2 linked regions of the Astyanax mexicanus genome follow. The protein of the gene in region 2 purifies or fractionates together with the protein of the main gene of each other region. This does not show direct contact. Links are inferred from orthologs where the notes say so. Each region holds a gene or a part of one and is shown on either strand. Other genes may lie near its edges.

What was found.
Region 1: the proteins of irf2bpl (region 2) and vgll4b purify together in Homo sapiens (affinity purification with mass spectrometry; 3 studies listed by BioGRID and IntAct, counting the BioPlex papers as one, with this or other methods). This does not show direct contact. The link is inferred for Astyanax mexicanus from reciprocal best matches to the Homo sapiens genes IRF2BPL and VGLL4.

What each region holds. Positions count from the first base shown.
Region 1 is NC_064431.1:14,401,516-14,410,272, forward strand, and holds the start of vgll4b (transcription cofactor vestigial-like protein 4b), read right to left. Parts: upstream 3,922-8,757; 5' UTR 3,585-3,921; coding exon 3,503-3,584; intron 1-3,502. UniProt on the Homo sapiens protein: May act as a specific coactivator for the mammalian TEFs.
Region 2 is NC_064421.1:18,442,816-18,451,963, reverse strand, and holds irf2bpl (probable E3 ubiquitin-protein ligase IRF2BPL), read right to left. Parts: upstream 3,971-9,148; 5' UTR 3,526-3,970; coding exon 1,429-3,525; 3' UTR 696-1,428; downstream 1-695. UniProt on the Homo sapiens protein: Probable E3 ubiquitin protein ligase involved in the proteasome-mediated ubiquitin-dependent degradation of target proteins. Through the degradation of CTNNB1, functions downstream of FOXF2 to negatively regulate the Wnt signaling pathway.

The sequences.
Region 1 (8,757 bases), on a different chromosome or scaffold from region 2:
GCAATGGATTATGCCAATATATTACGATATTACAGTATTGTGATTTTTTTTATATGTTTTATAAATCTGCAAATAATGAAGACAAATAACTGTCCAAAGAAGCAACAGCTGCCCTGTAGAACAGCAATGCCCATCATTAGGCCTCCTGATTTAGCTGGAGAGTTTTCTGCCATTTGGCCCGGTTATCTTAGCAGAGTTATCTGAAAACAAGTGTGAGTCACTGAGTTGAGGGGAGGAGGAGGATGAGGATGAGGAGGAGAAGGAGGAGGAGGAGGAGGAGGCGAGGAACAATGTTGCAATCCACAAGTCGTTAACTAGTTTTGCAAAAGCTTTAAGAATGTTTGTAGGTATTGCTAATATAAGTCTTGTGTCACTTTTTTACATAAAAAAAAAAATAAAATCAAATACAGAAAAAGTCACTGGTCAGTGAATGTGTCTACCTGTAATTAACTTCATAGAATGCTAGATTAAAACCCAAATAAACATAACGTTACACATTATTTAAGATAAACAAACTCACCTACCACTGACTTTATTTAGGTTTACTGTAATATTCTTTACAGTTTTGGAGGCAGACACTTGCCCATTCCACCACTCACACATTTTAGCTAAAACAGAACCTTTTCTAATTGCCAGTGTGTATATGATACAATGCACAACTGCGAAAACAAACACATCACAAACAAGAGTTGGAAGCATATACCTTCTTATTTATCATCAACAAAAACAGCCAACATAAAAAAATAATGATTTACCACATAAAACTCAACCGTTCACACCACACATCTGTCTAAATCTGTAGTTTTTTTATGACAATAAGAGCTTGTTAAAAAGTTTTAGTACTATAATTTGGAAAACCTCATCTTACTACTCTTACATCTAATACAGTCAATCCTTCAATCCAATAAACAGCTGCAGCCAGTTCCCAGACTTTGATTGAGGCGTACCCGCTCCTAAACTCATTTACAGCACTGATTCATCACAGACACTGCAATTTAAGCCAAGAATAGGCTTGATGTTCAGACAATGAGGACGTGTTTCATCATTGTTTTTGGGTAGGTGTGTAAGAAAATAGGGAAGTATTACGATATTGTGTTTAGCAATATTGTACAAATTCTTAATAACAGTCTCTCACAGTCTCAAAAACGCACTATCGATTCTTAATTATTAGTTAGGTGTAAAGATGTGTCATACACTGGTTGACAACACTAGTGTTGTTTAATCTTCCTGAATCAAAAAATATGCATTTCTTTACCCATTGATTTTATAAAAAAAAATTTCACACTAGGACAATATCAAATTGAATACAAAATAATATATATTTCCTAGCTTATAGTATTGCAGTATATTTTAATATACTTAACCGTAATCCCTGTATTGTGATTGACATCGTATCACAGGTTATTGTGTATCGCATATATTTCTTGGACAATGCCATTCAAACAAAATTGGTTATCTTTAGAGGCCTAACTGTAAGTCAGAATAAATTCCAGCGTAGAGTCTATTTCTTGGATCCTAAAACTCCAACTCCTCAACTTCCGTAACAACTTCCAGATCAAGCCATAAAACATCCGTACCCTTCCCCTGCTCCCAGTTCATCCCGGCTCATGTTCTGAACTTTAGGTGATGGATGAACCTGCCTGCTGTCCTCTGTTAAATTTCAGAAAGTTGGAGCTAAAAGCTTTCCATTTCTCATGCCAGACAGACACCCCCGTGCCCCGGCGCAGAGAGGGTCCTGGATCACGTTTCTGCTCTCGACAAGTGATGGCTGACAACAGGAGGCTGGTACGGAGTGGCGCAGACCAGAACACCCCCACAACCACCCTCTGATACCCCACAACACCCTCTACAATCACCCCCATTACTACATCCACAATCACCCGCCGAACAGCCCTTAAGTCCTAGTGTAAACACTCCAGACTTCAGATTCATTTTTCACATTCATTTTTCACTAGGCAGAAAAACTCACTATGAGATTTTCAAACATTGCTGTGAGGATTTGATTGTACTGAGTGACGATCTGAGAGCGAAAACACGAAAAGTATTGGATGGACTACCATCATTCCAGAGGTGCCCCACATTGGTCTCTGGGATTGGGCGCTATACCTGCTAGACTATTCTAGGCCTGATATTATGCATGGTGGCAACAGATTCATCTATTACTTCATCTGCTCCAGATAGTCCTATTCTATTGGCAATACTTCTCTATTCTCTACATGCACTAGACAACCTGGGGTTTGCGTGTGCATTTGCACATCTGTGTCAGCAATATTTGCAACTTGGCAAAGGGAGGTCTACCAGCATTTGGAAATGTACCACACATAATTAAAAGAACATTTTGTAGTTACAAAACTCTGGAAAGATATCAGACAAACACTCTGATTTATAGTGTTAGATTATAAACTTTCTTTATAGACACCCAAAGCTGGGTAAGACAGGAAATCTCCAAAATCCATAAAGCACCCCAAGTACACATGAACCATAGACACAGTCTATGACATGAACTCATGGGCTTTCCCAAGTCTTAAAACAGCCAAAGCAATAGTGCGGTGGGAAAAACAGTTTGAGTACACACTGGAAAAACAGACTGTTTAAGTGCATGTAGATCTTTTAAACCCATACAATCACCATGATATGAAGCAGCACAATTATAGCACTGGTATAATTACAGTAAAATAGGTCAATTTAAAGATATTTACACAAGAGAGAACACATGCTGAATGTTAAAAAACGTTGGGACTGGGCAATATATTAACCCTACCAGCATACACGTTTTGTGAGTTTTTATTCTTTGAAATTCAATGTAAAAATAAATTAGAGCATGTCTATTTGCCTAAAAAAGGCAATTTAATCTTTTCTAACTGTGAAAAACATAACATTGAAGTCAGAATAACTTTCCCAAACGCGAAAGTTCGCTTGGTTTTGGAAGTTTCCGTTCCACCTTAAACTCTGCAGCAGGTCTATTTAGGCGCCGAGATTGAATATCTATTAGCTTTGATAATTATTAGGTGCTATTACGTCTGTTGACGTATTTGCTATCATTAACACTGGCAAATTAATCTAAAGAACCCAGTAAAGTTTTCATAGTGTTTTACGCCCTATTAATATTAGCATATAAGGTGGACAGGTCCAACAACAAACCAGAGTCAGCGTGTTTCAAACCAGAGGTTTTACTACAGCTCTTAAAGTTAAAATTATACTAATTATTCAGTATCTCGATATTTTTCAGCAAGAACATATCGCAAACGGTTACTATTACCTACAACTTATTTGCCTAAATTAAGTTATTATAACCTTTGCAACAGCATAAGTTGACTTTTTTCTCGTTCCACATTAAATGTAGCAGCTAGCTCCTGAATGGAACTGCAGCAGCATTTAAGGTGGAACAAAAAGTTCAACAACAAACCAACTTCCGACCACTTTTTACGTTTTTCCTTACAAAGCCTTACAAATAAATTACGTAACTTAACAGCAAAATATTCAAATAAACTCGTTGTTTTACCTTCATAGCAGAGAATGCCAATGTTGTTGTTCATTTTGTCCAGGTACTGGTAGTTCAACAGGTCCATTTTCGTAAGAAGCATTTATTTATCACACTTGACAGCAAAAAGACCAGCTTTTTTGCTCGCGAATAAAGTTGCAAAATGTAAAATGTTAAATTAGTTTGTGGTTTGTTTCTCCCTTCAAAAGCTTAAGGCCCAGCCTTTAAACTTCTCCCGTGCTGAAAAAAAAAAACAAACAAATAAAGAAAAAACGTTCAGCCCGTTTAAACGACGCGATTATAATCAAATGCAAACGATTAAAAAGGATTTAATCGATGAATCGGGGACAAAAACAAAATAATCGCGCCGGTTCTCCTCACAGCCCGCTGTAAGTCGACTGCACCGCCGCTCGCGCGCTGCCTCTGCTCGGTATGGAGGTGAGAGCGTGTGCGCGCGGGGAGCTTCCTGCCTGTGCGCGAGGAGCTGGGCTGCACTACGCATGCGCAGCAAAAAATAAAATCCCAAGAGCGCCTCAAATATCAGATTTTTTTTCCTGAAGGGGAGAGGAGAGTGGAGAAAGGTGTATATATGGTGTGTGTGTGTGTGTGTGTGTGTTTAGTGCTTTTTAGGATCCTATTGATGTTGAAAAGCACACATCTGTACAACTATACAACACATCTTAGACAGAACTGTGACTTTTTGTTAAAAAAAAAAAAACTAGAAATGTATGTAGCTAAGTTGTTGCTAAGTTTTTATGGGGCTGCTAAGGTGTTTCCAAATCCATGCAATTCCACTAAATTTTATAAATGGACAAGTCCTCACAAAGACAGTAATACAAGCATGCACCACACTGGTGTTGCACAGGGGAGGGGGGTAATAGTAAAATCAAAAGGAGGCCAAAACCAACCAAAAGCACAGTTAAAACGTAAACTCCACTCTTTACAATTTACTCACCCAAACAGAACTGTACTAGAGGGTATAAAAGCCCTTGTTCAGAACCTTTGGGATAAGCTTTGGTATAAGGAGGTGTTCTCCAATGAGATTTCCATTTATACTTTACTGCCCTCTAGTGGTGAAATATCTCTCTCACACACACTCCTGACATATCCATATACAATAATCAGCCAAAGCATTTAAACCACAAGCCTAGTTCTACACAAGACCTTTAAAGGTGTCTTGCACCAAGACTTACAGCAAGTCCTGTAAGTGGTGAGGTTGGTGGGGCTTCCATCAGCAACAATGAATCTTGGGTGCCCATGAATGTCGTTAGTTCACTGGTTGTCCTTCTTTGAACACTGTTGGTAGGTACTGACCATTGCATAGCAAGAACACCCACAAGACCTGCTGATTGTTTGGATAAGTTCTGACACAGGTGTATAGATTGTGCAACATCACAAACTTGCATGCAAAACAAAGTTCCTTTGTGTTAAAGTCAAAGACCACCTTAATTCTAGTAAAAAACAATCCATATGCATAAGATTCCCATTTTCAGCACAACACCTCTTAATTTCCTTCTTCTATTGCTTAATTGGTGAAGATATTCTTCCTTAAATTTCTGTTAGTAACCTGAAAGTCTTTTTTTATGTTTTTACACTGCAAACAAATCAAACAATGGTTCTATTGTTAAGATTCAATTTTGGTGCTTTGATCCAAACTGTGGTTCACAGCAACTCTCACACCTGCTATTTTGGTAGGTGGGAAGTAGGGGTTTACAATATATGATAACCTAGCTGGATATTATGTGAAAGATGAAAAAATAAGATCCTGAAATTAGTTTAAACTTCACAAAAGCTTTTCAGCACTTTTCCAGGATAAGTAATACTTTGGTGTGAGTGGACCTAGCTCTGCCTCCAGTTATGTGACCACAGTCTACAGTAAACTCATATAGTAAAAAAAAAATAAAAATATGACTTATCCTACAGACCTAATGTGAAAATGAGGAAAAAGTGTTGTTTTCTGTTATATTTTGTTTTTTATTTACCTGATGCTAAAAAAAAACTTAACTGGAAATACATACAATTTCTAATATCTTACTTTATCATGCAGAGGGAGATAATAGCTGATATCCAATTCTACATACAGTGGGGAGAACAAGTATTTGATACACTGCTGATTTTTCAGGTTTTCCCACTTGCAAAGCATGTGGAAGACTGTAATTTTTATCATAGGTACTGTTCAACTGTGAGTGATGGAATCTAAAACAAAAATCCAGAAAAATACATTGTATGATTTTTAAATAATTAATTTCCATTTTATTGTGGGAAATAAGTATTTGATACACCAGAAAAAGAAACTTAATATTTGGTACAGAAACCTTTGTTTGCAATTACAGAGATGAGACATTTCCTGTAGTTCTTGACAAGGTTTGCACACACTGCAGCAGGGTTTTTATCCCACTCCTCCATACAGATCTCCTCCAGAGCCTTCAGGCTTCGTGGCTGTCGCTGGGCCACACGGACTTTAAGCTCCCTCCAAAGATTTTCTATTGGATTCAGGTCTGGAGACTGGCTAGGCCACTCCAGGACCTTAAGATGTTTCCTACGGAGCCACTCTTTAGTTGCCCTGGCTGTGTGTTTTGGGTCGTTATCATGCTGGAAGACCCAGCCACGACCCATCTTCAGTGCTCTTACTGAGGGAAGGAGGTTGTTGGCCAAAATCTCACGATACATGGCTATGGCGTCAAAACCGTGTCAAAATTCGCGAGCGAGCAAAGTCACTTGGCGCAAGCAAAACCACACTCGCGCGCGCGCGGAGAGGGCTTGGCGCAAGCAAAACCACACTCGCGCGCGCGCGGAGAGGGCTGGCTGCGCACGCGCGGAAGCAAAACCACACTCGCGCGCGCGCGGAGAAGGCTGGCTGCGCGCGCGCGGGGAGAGCTACGCGCGCGAGGAGGCAAAACACTCGCGAGAGTGGAATTTGCCACGCCTTCGGCTTAAATAAATAAATAGGACCTGTTAGGGACGTCCATAAGGGCCAAGGTCACGTACGTCCTATAGCAAACGTTTTAAAAATACTCAAATAAGGACGTCCGCGAGCTGTTTGCTGGGTATGTATGTCGCCACTGAATACACATTCAGGCTGGCTAAAATGCAGTTAGGTATTCACTATTAGATATATAGTGCACCTAATTGAGCTTAGCAGAAATATGACACTATGGCAGGGCAAATGGGGGGAAATTTCATCTGCGGTTATGAACGTAAACGAAGTAAATATGCGGTTATTAATGCTTATCAACACTTGCGTAGGAACCGTCAGAAACCTCAGAAACAGAAATTCTGGACCAGGGTTGGGGGCTACTACATATAGGTTTATATATTGCTGTTGCCTTTTTCCATAAAATTCAAAATTTTATATAATATTGATTGTAATTTTTTGTTGTAATATTTCCTGTCCATTAAAATTAAATATATATATATATATATATATATATATATATATATATATATATATATATATATATATATTGTTCTTTGCAGAATATTCTGAAGTGCCATCTTTTTGAGCGACTCCTAACGTACGTGACCTTGGCCCTTATGGACGTCCCTAACAGGTCCTATTTATTTATGGTGGAGTGCAAATGCCGATTCATTAGCAATGGATTCATATTTATTAAAACGTGTACAAATGTACATTTAGGTACATACTTGCTGCTGTCCTTGTAGCGCCATTTTTCCGAAGTGGGCCTTCTGTGTCTTATTCCCGGGTTTTTCGTGCAAGTGCTATGACATTGACAAACAGCCAATCACAATCCACTTCCGGAAAACAGCCGTAGCCAATCCTGTCTGGGTCTAGGGCTGTCCCTAACGATTATTTTTTAAACGATTATTCTAACGATTATTTTTTTTCGATTAGTCGACTAATCTATTCATTGAGAAAAATATTTAAATAATTATTTTACGTTTTAAAGCAAACGATAAATTACTATATTTATATATAATAACAACAACAACAACAACAACAACAACACAAGCCTACTAAACCAAACCCCACACTTATAATCACTTACATGTACAACACGTTGTTTAGATCTATAACGCTAAAAATGGATAAGCTCCCATACATCACAACCGTGTGTTGCACTGTTTTCTGTGACCGCTAGATTTTGTGACCACTGGCAAGTAGTTCTCAGCAGACCGGTGCACTGGCCGATTCGAAACGTGTTCGTTTCTAATGTTTACCCCGACTGGCCAAAACGGTTCAGTTTAGGGCTGAGGGTAAGGTGTAGGTATAGAAAGCTTCCGTTTTGCCAATGAACGCTCATAACCGTGAGCACTGGTCACAAAATTCCGACGGTGACAGAAAACGGTGTGACACCGCAGCGCCGACGGCGCTAGCTAAAATAACTTAAGGCAGCTAGCTTAGCTAAACACCTGAACGTATGAATAATGCTACTGTTTCTGGAAACTGCGAAATGCCATGCACAAATATAAACCAAAAATGTATAATTTCTGCCTGTGGCAGGTTTAAAACCTTTGGTAGACAGCCTTAAGTCTTTTTAAGGACACCCGCGGAGACCCTGATGTAAACGGTAACTTACTGTGTGACCCTGTTGACATAGTGCTCCTGGATGTTTGCGCTTCAAGTGCTCCTTTTGCACGTATGGCAGAGGACCACATTGTTGCCCTTTTGCGTGAAATGCTCCCAAACTTTAGATGCCCGCTGGCGTTTTTTTGTAGCTGGAGATTGCTCTCCGGAGTCCAAGCTCTCTAGAGCTTAGATTCTCTGCCCGAACCCGACATGACCCGAGGCCCGCCCGTAAATCCGACCCGGGCTCCAGAAAATAGTCCGAGATGTAGGCGTCTGTTTTTTAATTATATTTTTATTTAAAAAAAAATAACGAAAACTGAAAGTGAAACTAAACTAATTTATTTATAAGCGCTGTTTTCACTACCGCAGTTCTACAGCGGGGGTGTTGTGCCGATTCTGTCCGCGAAGCGGGAGTCAGATTCAGCAGAGAGTCGGATTCGGCACAAACGCGGCGGCACCTCGCGCAGTTGTAAGCGCTCGCGCTAGCCGCAAAATACGGCAGAAAACACTGAGGGAGCTGCAGAATTATGAATGGGACTAGAATATGAGCACGAGGAGATCAAAGAGAACCTTCACCTGTGAGTAGCTCTCTCTCTCTCTCTCTCTCTCTCTCTCTCTCTGTGTCTCTCGCACGTGAACTCCTCCGCGTTTGACTTGCAGAACTGTGTTTAGCTGTTCTTAAAAATCATTTTAATTAAATAATAGTTCTATGCTTCTATGTTACCGTGTTAATTAACATAATTCTGAT
Region 2 (9,148 bases):
CATGAAATATATTGTATAATGGGAGTCTAGTGTGAACTATAGCAAATAAACAGAAGCAGTTTATCTTTAACTCATCATTAAACACACTGAAAATCATGTACACTGTGCTCTAGAAATAAACAGGCATTCACATGAACAATACTGCTTTCCAGGAGCTTGTGTTGCACTGTGCTGATTGCGTTACACATCTTAATTTTTAGGTTTTACGTCAAAGAGAATGTGCCATGCCTGGTAAGGGTAAGAAAATATCAATGATACTAAAAAAGTCAGATGCTTCACATATACTCTTTACATAAATATGCCTACAATGTATATACTATCATAATAGTAAAAATCATGCAACTGTAACAGTTGTCTTCAGAGTAAGCAAGAAAAGCAACAGTCCCTGACATGCACTGCAAGTTAAAGCACAAACAGAGTCAACAAAACATTAAGAAACAGTTTTTAACCATCACCAACCACCTCTTGCACACTGAAAGCTGATCACACCATGCTTAAGAAATAAACAGTCATTCTCTGGAACTATGCTAGCTTGCCAAAAGAAAATAGACCACTCCTGTTTAACCTAAAATTCCTCTTAATATCATAAGACAGGAGTCCTGTGCAACATGTTGCAAATAAACCAGTGCCGTGTGGGAAAACCATGTACAGTGCCAATGCATCTCGAACTGAACAAACTGACACTTGACAAAATCTTCATACCAATGAATTTATTACAATTGACTCAGCTCCAAGGCACGTTACAAGTTTTCTGTTACTACAGAACCGTATAAACAAACAGAGCAGTTAATGTACAGTATTTTTGCTCTACTCTTAAGCATCCGTGCATCTTTAATGCAAAACAAAACCAAACCAAAAACAAAAGGAGTCGGAATGAAAAACATGTAGTAAACTATAGTCATACTTTCAGAGAGCACGAGATATAAAAGAGAGACATCATTATGAGAAAAAAAACACTAAAAAAAATCAGAAGAGAAATGCCCCACTGACACTGATTGGCGTGGAAAATCATGTGACCAACCAAGTCGTCTTACCGTAAGTAATGACAAAACATGTCATGTACAAAAAAAGTGGGGTGGTGGGGGTCTTTTGAAGGGGAAGGGGAGTTGTGTTGTGTTTTTGGGATGTGGTAACCACTTTAAACGAAGTGCGTGAACTGATTTTTTTTTTTTTGTAAAAATAAGAAAAAAAAAAAACAACAGACTGTGACCTCAAAGTGCTTCTCCACCGTCCTGGGCCAACAGTGTCCTCCTTCCCAAGAGGCTCGAGGGAGCTCCAAGAGCCCCCAAAACACAAAAACACAAGGAGGAGTGAGGTGTTCTGTACACATTATTCACAACAAGGTTATTTATATATATATATATAATATATATAGATTTATTTATATATATTTATTTGAGTCGGTCTGTTGAAATGTTCAACAGCATTTCAAGGGTCCCTCTCCTTTTTCACCTTCACATCTCCGGCCAGAATGGTCGCTATCTCCCCTTGCATGAAAGCCCAAGGCACGTTGGAGCCGACCAGGGGGCATTTTTCTCCGCTGGGGCAGTACACCTCGCCCGTGGCGCCTTGCGCCTTGATGCTCTCGCGCGAGCACGGGAAGCAGAACTTGTGGCCGGGTACCGAGGGGCACTGCACGAAGTGTGTGTCCTCCAGGCGCTCGTGGCAAATGGTGCAGCACAGAGGACCGCTGCCAGCCATGGGAGAGTCAGGTACGCCGTGGGCCCCGTGCGCACCGGCGTGCTCCGCGTGCGCCTGCTGCTGTTGCTGCTGCTGTGAGTCGCCGTTGCGCGAGGCCAAGCGCCGCTGGCCTGAGACCGAAGCCGGAGATACGGGACTGCTACCTCCGCCACTGCCGCCGCTGCCGGTGCTGCCGTGGCGTGCGGATGTAGTGGAGTGCACAGAGTTTGCGTCCTTCGGGGAATGCGCGCCCCCGCCGCCGCCTCCACCTCCACCGCCTAGAGCGTCCGCTACCGACATGAGCGCCGCCATGGGCGACTGTCCGTTCTGTGCAGGTTCTGGAGGAGTGGCCCGGCTAGCATGTACAGGGCCCAATGGTGGTGGTGGTCCTCCGTGGCATGCCCCGAATGAGCCCCCCACCGCGGCCAACGCATTTTGGCTGGCCATCCATTGCTGTTGCTGCTGCTGTCGCTCCTCGAGCGAGTCCGGTTCCGGAGAGGCTTTGCGTTTGCGGGCTCCCGCCCGCAGCGCGCTTGCAGATGCAGCAGATGAAGCCGGTAAGGCGCGTGGGAGCATGCCGGCAAGAGCCGAAGAGGGGAGTAGAGGGCAGCCCGCGTCCACGTGCGGCTGGGGGAGCATGTCGGCACCCAGGGTTTCCTTGAAAAAGCGCACGGGCTCGGGCAGCAGGTCGCCGAGGAGACGCCAGTCGCCGGTGCCGTGTTTCTTCTCGTACTCGAGGTACTTGAAGCCGGACGAAAGGCCACGGCCGTAGTCCTTCATGCAGTCATGATACATCTGCTTGGCGACCCCTGAAGCGCTCGAGAAGACGGTGCCGGAGCCGCTCGGGTACTCTACGAAGATTTTTAGCTCGTAGTCTGCGCCCGGCTTGGCTACAGCGTCGAAGGCGAACACGCGGCCCGCGAGCGCGTGGTCCTTTTTGAAGCGCACGTCGAAGGGCGCACATCCAGTCAGTGTAAGCAGAGTGTCGCGCACGAGCTTGGGCTTGCTCGCCCACTCTTCAGCTCGGTTGCGTAGACTTTCCCCGAGCTCGGACAGAGCCTCGGCGTTGCGCTGCCTCTCGCGCGCCTCGCGCTCTTGATCCGTGCTCGAGACGGACGCGGGGCGCTTGCCCGGTTCCGAAAGTCCAAGAGCGGACGACGAGGAGGAGGATGAAGACGATGAGGAGGGAGGTGCGCGCGCGGCCAGGCCCGAAGCGGGTCCGTTAAGCATGGTCTGTGGGAGCAGGTTAGGGGGCACGCTCATCTGCGCAGGCAGAGAAACCAGTCCGTGAGTGCCGCCGCCCCGCCTCGAGTTGGGGCTCTGGCGGTTTAGCTCGGGAGGTCCGTCGTCCGTCTTCGGAAAGCCGTTCAGGAGGCCGTTGGGGAGGCGCGCCGCGTGCGCGCTCATGCCCGTGCCCGTGTAGTCGAAGCGCGAGGAGTAGCAGCGCTCGAGTCCCGCTTGTTGCTGCTGCGCTTGCTTGCTTGTGCCGTCCACGTGGTTTAGCTGCACTGTGGTCTCCTTTCCGTGCGACTTCACGGAGGGCAGCGGAGGCAGCGACGACGACGAGGACGACGGTGGAGGTGGCAGCGGCGGCGGGGGCACCGGCAGCGGTGGTACGACCCCCGCGCCTCCCGGGCCCGGAGAGCGTCCGTCTTGGAATCCGTGCGCGCGCTTGAGGTGCCGCGCGGTCTCGATCACGAACTCGATGCGGTCTGCGCCCTCGTAGTTTACACAGCCGCGGCACACGGGCTCCGTGAAGTCCCAAATCATAGCCCATGGCATGCGGGGCAGGTCGCACAGGTAGCACGACTGCCGCCGTGACGAAGCGACCTGCGCGGAAGACATGCTGCTGCAGCTGCTGCACGCGCGCCGCTCCGCTTCAGCCGCTCAGCAGCGCGAGCAAACGGGGGAGGGAAGAGCCTCGCGCGCTGTGTTTTCTTTTCGTCTCTCTCTCTCTCTCTCTCTTGAACACACACGCGCTGCAGCCTTTTCCCTTTTCTCTCTCTCTCCTCGAGCTCCAGGACCAAAGCAGCGGCGGTGGTGGTCTTGCAGGATTCGGCTGCGCTGTTCCGCCTCACATTTTACTGCCTTTAGTGGGATTTACTTTTTGTTTTTCTTTTTTTGGTTCCCTTTTTTTCCTGACGGTGCCTACACGTCCTCCGCGCGAGCGAGCGCGCGCTCTCTCCCTGCGCGCGGAATGCCACCTGGCCGGAGCGGTGACGTCAGCAGTAGCAGCAGCAGCAGCAACGCGCTATTCTCCGTTACACATCGACATGCCACTTGTTGCTGTAAGAGTGCGCATGCGCTAACCACTCCCCACTAAATCTTTTGAATGGACTGGCACACACAGACGCGCGCGCACACACACACAACACGGACGCACCAAATTGAGCAGTTTTCGCTTAGAAACAAGGAGGGTCTGTGGGAAAACAAGCCGCTCTCAGTCTCTCTCTGTGAAACTCGCCAGTCACCAGTACGAGCTTTACTGCTGTTTAACTCCTACATCTGTTCACTTCAACACTGGAACTACAAGCAGAGGAAATGCTTACATCAGCAAACTACAGTACTGATTTCCTGCACTGTGATAAATATGCCACATTTTTTTTTAATATTCTGGTAAAAAAAAATACCACTAATATTTCCTTTGTATTAACTTAATGCACAATTCCTTAAATAATTTAAACATAATTTCCATACGATCTGTGTATATACAAGACAATTATAATGAATAATCAGTAAATATAAATATTCATCCCTAATAAAAATAAAAAACAAGGTAATTTCTATGTATAAACAATTAAAACAAATTTCTAATGTCTTACAAAAACATTCCATAATTGCAAATTTGTCATAGAACAGTTTAAGGTCTGTGCACATACAAGACAATTCCTCCATTATTCCAGACTGGTAGTGTGCTATCCAGCAAAGGTATATGTTTCATATATAAAATGAAGGTACTGTCATTTATACAGACTGAACATATACTGTTCTCTTACAGAAATAGATAAAACAGTTATAGAACAGTATACATACAGGTGAATTCCATAATCTTCTACAGAAAATAAGTAATTTTTTCAGGTAAAGAAAAGTATGTAATATTTAGTAGACAAAACTGTAATTTTATATTTTTATGAAATACTTTGTAAATGTACACTTCTTTATAGCACAGCGGCCATCTTAAATCCTAAAGCACCTGTGTAGCAAAAGCATATAGAGTAACTACCCAGGAAAGCACAGCACAACTACCTAGATACCATGTGGAATAGCATAACAACCACCTAGAAACACTACAGTAACATATGTATGTATGTATAATGCTAACCTTTAAATTATCCCTATTCAAAATAAACGTGAATAAATGTGATCTAAAAAAAACCCCACTAGTTTTGCTGGTTCAGTCTGTTATTTTCACACTGATTGCATTCAGTGAGTGGATAGACAGAAACAGAGTGCCCCACCCCCAAAGCTCCGAACCCTGCTCTCTCACTCAAACAGGACTACACACACAGACATTTCCTATAAGAGCTCCAGGAGAGAAGGAATGCAAAGGGGGGTGGGGTGGTTGGCTGTACATGTGGAAAATGCTGTTTATTGCAATCCCTACCAACTGCTGGCACCAAATGTAATACACATGTAATGTATGAGCAAAAAGCAACCAGGCATGGCCTCAGCCTCGCTCAAGGCATTTTTTTACCTCCCCGTTAGTGTTGCATACTAAGTGCATCAGACTGGATGTGTATGGAAGCATACACTGGTAGAAAATAACACGGAACACATGGGTCAAAACATGGAGTGACACCTATACAAACATTTATACACTTCCCAACATTCTCTCATTTGCAGTACATAATTACAGACTGTAGTCCATCTGTAGTCCAGCACTGCAGATGTACTGTATATCTACAGTCCAGTCATCTGTTGCTACAGTTTGTGTTGGACATCTCCTAGTCTTACAGAGATGGTCTCTTTTATCAGATAAATGTCATGGGACAAGAGAAACGCTACACTAATCTGCATTAAAAGTGTTTGTGATTTATGCCAGTCACTTGTCTGCATACACAATTCTAGGCAGACACTGCCAGTCATGTACCACACTGCTATACTGCTGTTTGTTATGCATACGCTTTATTTTATCATCCATTTATGGCATGCCAGTGTATGTGTGTAGATATGTAAGCAAATATAGCTTCTGCAGCTCATTACACAAGCCATTTTTATTATTCTATATACCATTTACTAGAAATATTGCAGGGAAATTATAGATTACATAACTCAAAGATTTAACAATACATCTGAACATATACCTGAGTATATACCAAGTTATTAGTGCCAGAATAACAAGCAACCAGAACATTTCATTGCTGGTTTGCCATTTTGTATTTTCTAAACGGGAAAAAATGACAAATGGCAGAGACTGTTCTCGTCACTGCAGGAACACTGCAGTAAAGCAGACCCAATTTCAGTAGGAAAACATTGCGTATGAACATGTACAAACATATCACTAAAAGAGTGGATGTCTTGCCTGATGCACTCATTGTTAGATAAGCAAGCATGCCCCCTAAAATTCATCTGTACTACAGAATTTCTCATAAAACAGTAAGCTAATCTTGGCGCTGGTAAATACGATCTGTGTTCACTCCACTATTTTATCTGTATCTAGTCTGTCTAACTTAATGCCCTAACATAATTGTTCACAGACTCGAAACAGCAATGTTTGTAAACAGCAATGTAGTAAAACATACCAGTCCTGTTTAATAAAACTTTCCTAACCTTCAAAAAATAAAAAAATGTTTGGTCCTAAAATCAAGGGGTTTAGTTACTCTTTAAAAAAGAAAAATGTATTAAAGGTGTTTTAAATACAATTACATTAATTGAAACAGTTAAAAAATATAGCACTGTAAAAAATTAAGGGACTACTTCAGTTTCTGAATCAGTTTCAGTTTGCTATTTATAGGTATTTGTGAGAAATGGCTAAAATAATAAAAAAGATGCAGAGATTTCAGACCTCAAATAAAAAAAAAATATTTAAAGTTTTATTATATGTTTTTTCTCATATAATGCAACGAAAACAAGTTCATATTCATATCATATTCATGAAGTTTTAGGAGTTCAGAAATAAATATTTGGTGGAATAACACTGGTTTTTAATCACTATTTTCTTGGCATGTTCTCCTCCACCAGTCTTACACACTGCTTTTAGATAACTTTATGCCACTCCTGGTGCAAAAGTTCAAGCAGTTCTGGTTGATTTTAAGGCTTGTGATCATCCATCTTCCTCTTGATTATATTCCAAAGGTCTTCAATTTGGTAAAATCAAAGAAACTTCATCATTCTTAAGTGGTCTTTTTTTCAGAGATGTATATAAATATGATATTTGATATTTAATATGATACACTGCTTGAGGTTCTTCTTATGTCACATTGCGACTACTGACACAACACATATTCATAAATACACAAGTATTGCTTTATAAATACGTTATTTAATGCTTACGAACATGCTATGAAGTAAGTAGCGTTCATATATAAAGAGTTATCCATTGATTTTTTTTGTAGGGACAAAAAATAAACATTGGAAACGATCAGGATTGTACAACTAGCCCCAGTGAAGTGCCTTAAACACAAATTAGCATCCAGAAGACTTTCCTGGTAAAGCTTCTGCAGTAACCTGCACGGTCTGATTGTGTGTGCAGACGGCGCAGGATATTTTGCTTTTCTTCCCTCTCCCTGAGAGATTCTTTGCTATCCCCGCAGCCCTCTCATGCATACAGATCACACTGTGTGCCTCGCTGCCTCAAAACACACACACACACACTGTGGAAAGTTTTCAGCGCTCAGCTTTCCCCAGGCCCATCGCAGGGGTTAACTCTCAGCTTCCGCTAAGCAGCTGGCAGCTTGCCAGACTAAGGGATTCTGGGAAAAGGCAAGGCTTGCCAAGTACAAACTGCCAACATTAAGCAGGCCTGACAGGCCCTCTCCTCCTCCAAACCTGGCAGCCGTTCAAAGTGCTCTTTCATTTGAGACACTGGCGGGTAGCCAAATGCATGCAGATTTACTTTACCTATTCTCAGATGGAGCCGATAGAGGCCGCCTGCCGTTGCCATGGGGACCAGAGGCTGCTAGAGCAGCTTTGTGAGTTACTGCCTACCTTGGGCTCCTTATATGTGCGTATCTTGCGCAGGCCGCTCAGTTAGCTGCATATGTGTGATTTCCACTCACGCTGCTGGTCCTTCTTTCTTTCCCTCCCTTTTCAAACAGTGTTTGAAAGGATTTAACCCTTCACGTCTTCTCGAGGCTCGATCGAGAATGAGGCAGGCATGCATTTTTTCATGTCGTACCCTAAATTTTTTTTTAAACGGAACCAGTGCAGTGGCACTGATGTTTAAAACAGGACCAGTCATGGTGAACCCAGAGAGAGTTGGTGGTTACAGAAAGGTTACAAAATATCTATAATATCAGTAGATAGCAGTGTTCTTCTCTGTAGTTAGACCCCCCTCTTCTAATTGCACTCAGATTTTACTGTAAATATGATTGAAAAAGTGATTTATGTTTTATTTAAACAACTGCAATAAATCACCTTGTTTAAAGTATCATAATACATCATTATATTTTGAATCGTAAGCCGTGTATCATAAGCTGTGTATTCATATCAATCATGAGTTCAAACCCTAATACAGACTATTTACAAGAAATTCCTGCGTTGCTTATACAATGAAGGAAAACATAAGCTAGTGTATGCATGCCTCAGTAAACACACTCTGCCATAGGACACAGATTATTTTTTGCTTATTTATCATCATCATTTGCTTTCTTGAACCCAGATCATGTAATACAATCTGTGACAAGGTGGGGATAAATTCTTAAAAACAAGACAGGAAAAGCCTGAGCCTGAGCCTGACCCTGAACATCTACACACACATACATAAACTCACACACACACAAACAAGCTCACAGCATTAAGCAAACATGTCAGACTCCGGAACACACCCCTCACTTAAAGGGATGGGCAGAGGCATTCTTTTCTGGTTCATGATGAGACTGTGGTTTAGGCACGAATGCACACGCATCATCTACTATACTGAGGAACAATTTGTGCCGAGCTCATCTTTACAAAACGCCTATTATTTCACACTGTGCTGGGATATCCCACCTTAGTATCAGACTGAACATTAGAAATTAAACCCAATATAAAAGTTAGGGTTATCCTTTTTTTAAAGTGTGGAAATAAAGTTATCAGCCAGAATAAGTATACTTTGAAACATCTGTAAACAAACCCTGACATGTCTCAAAACTCATCTTAACTGCATTCAAAGTAAGTGTTTGATAGAAAAGATATACTTAAATGATTTACAATTTACAACAGATGCAGTCAGTTGGCTAGGATTGATATCTAACAAGTGCTTCTTTTGTTAAGAACAGAAGATTTTAGAATAGCATTGCTAACAAACATCTCATCTCATCATAAACCC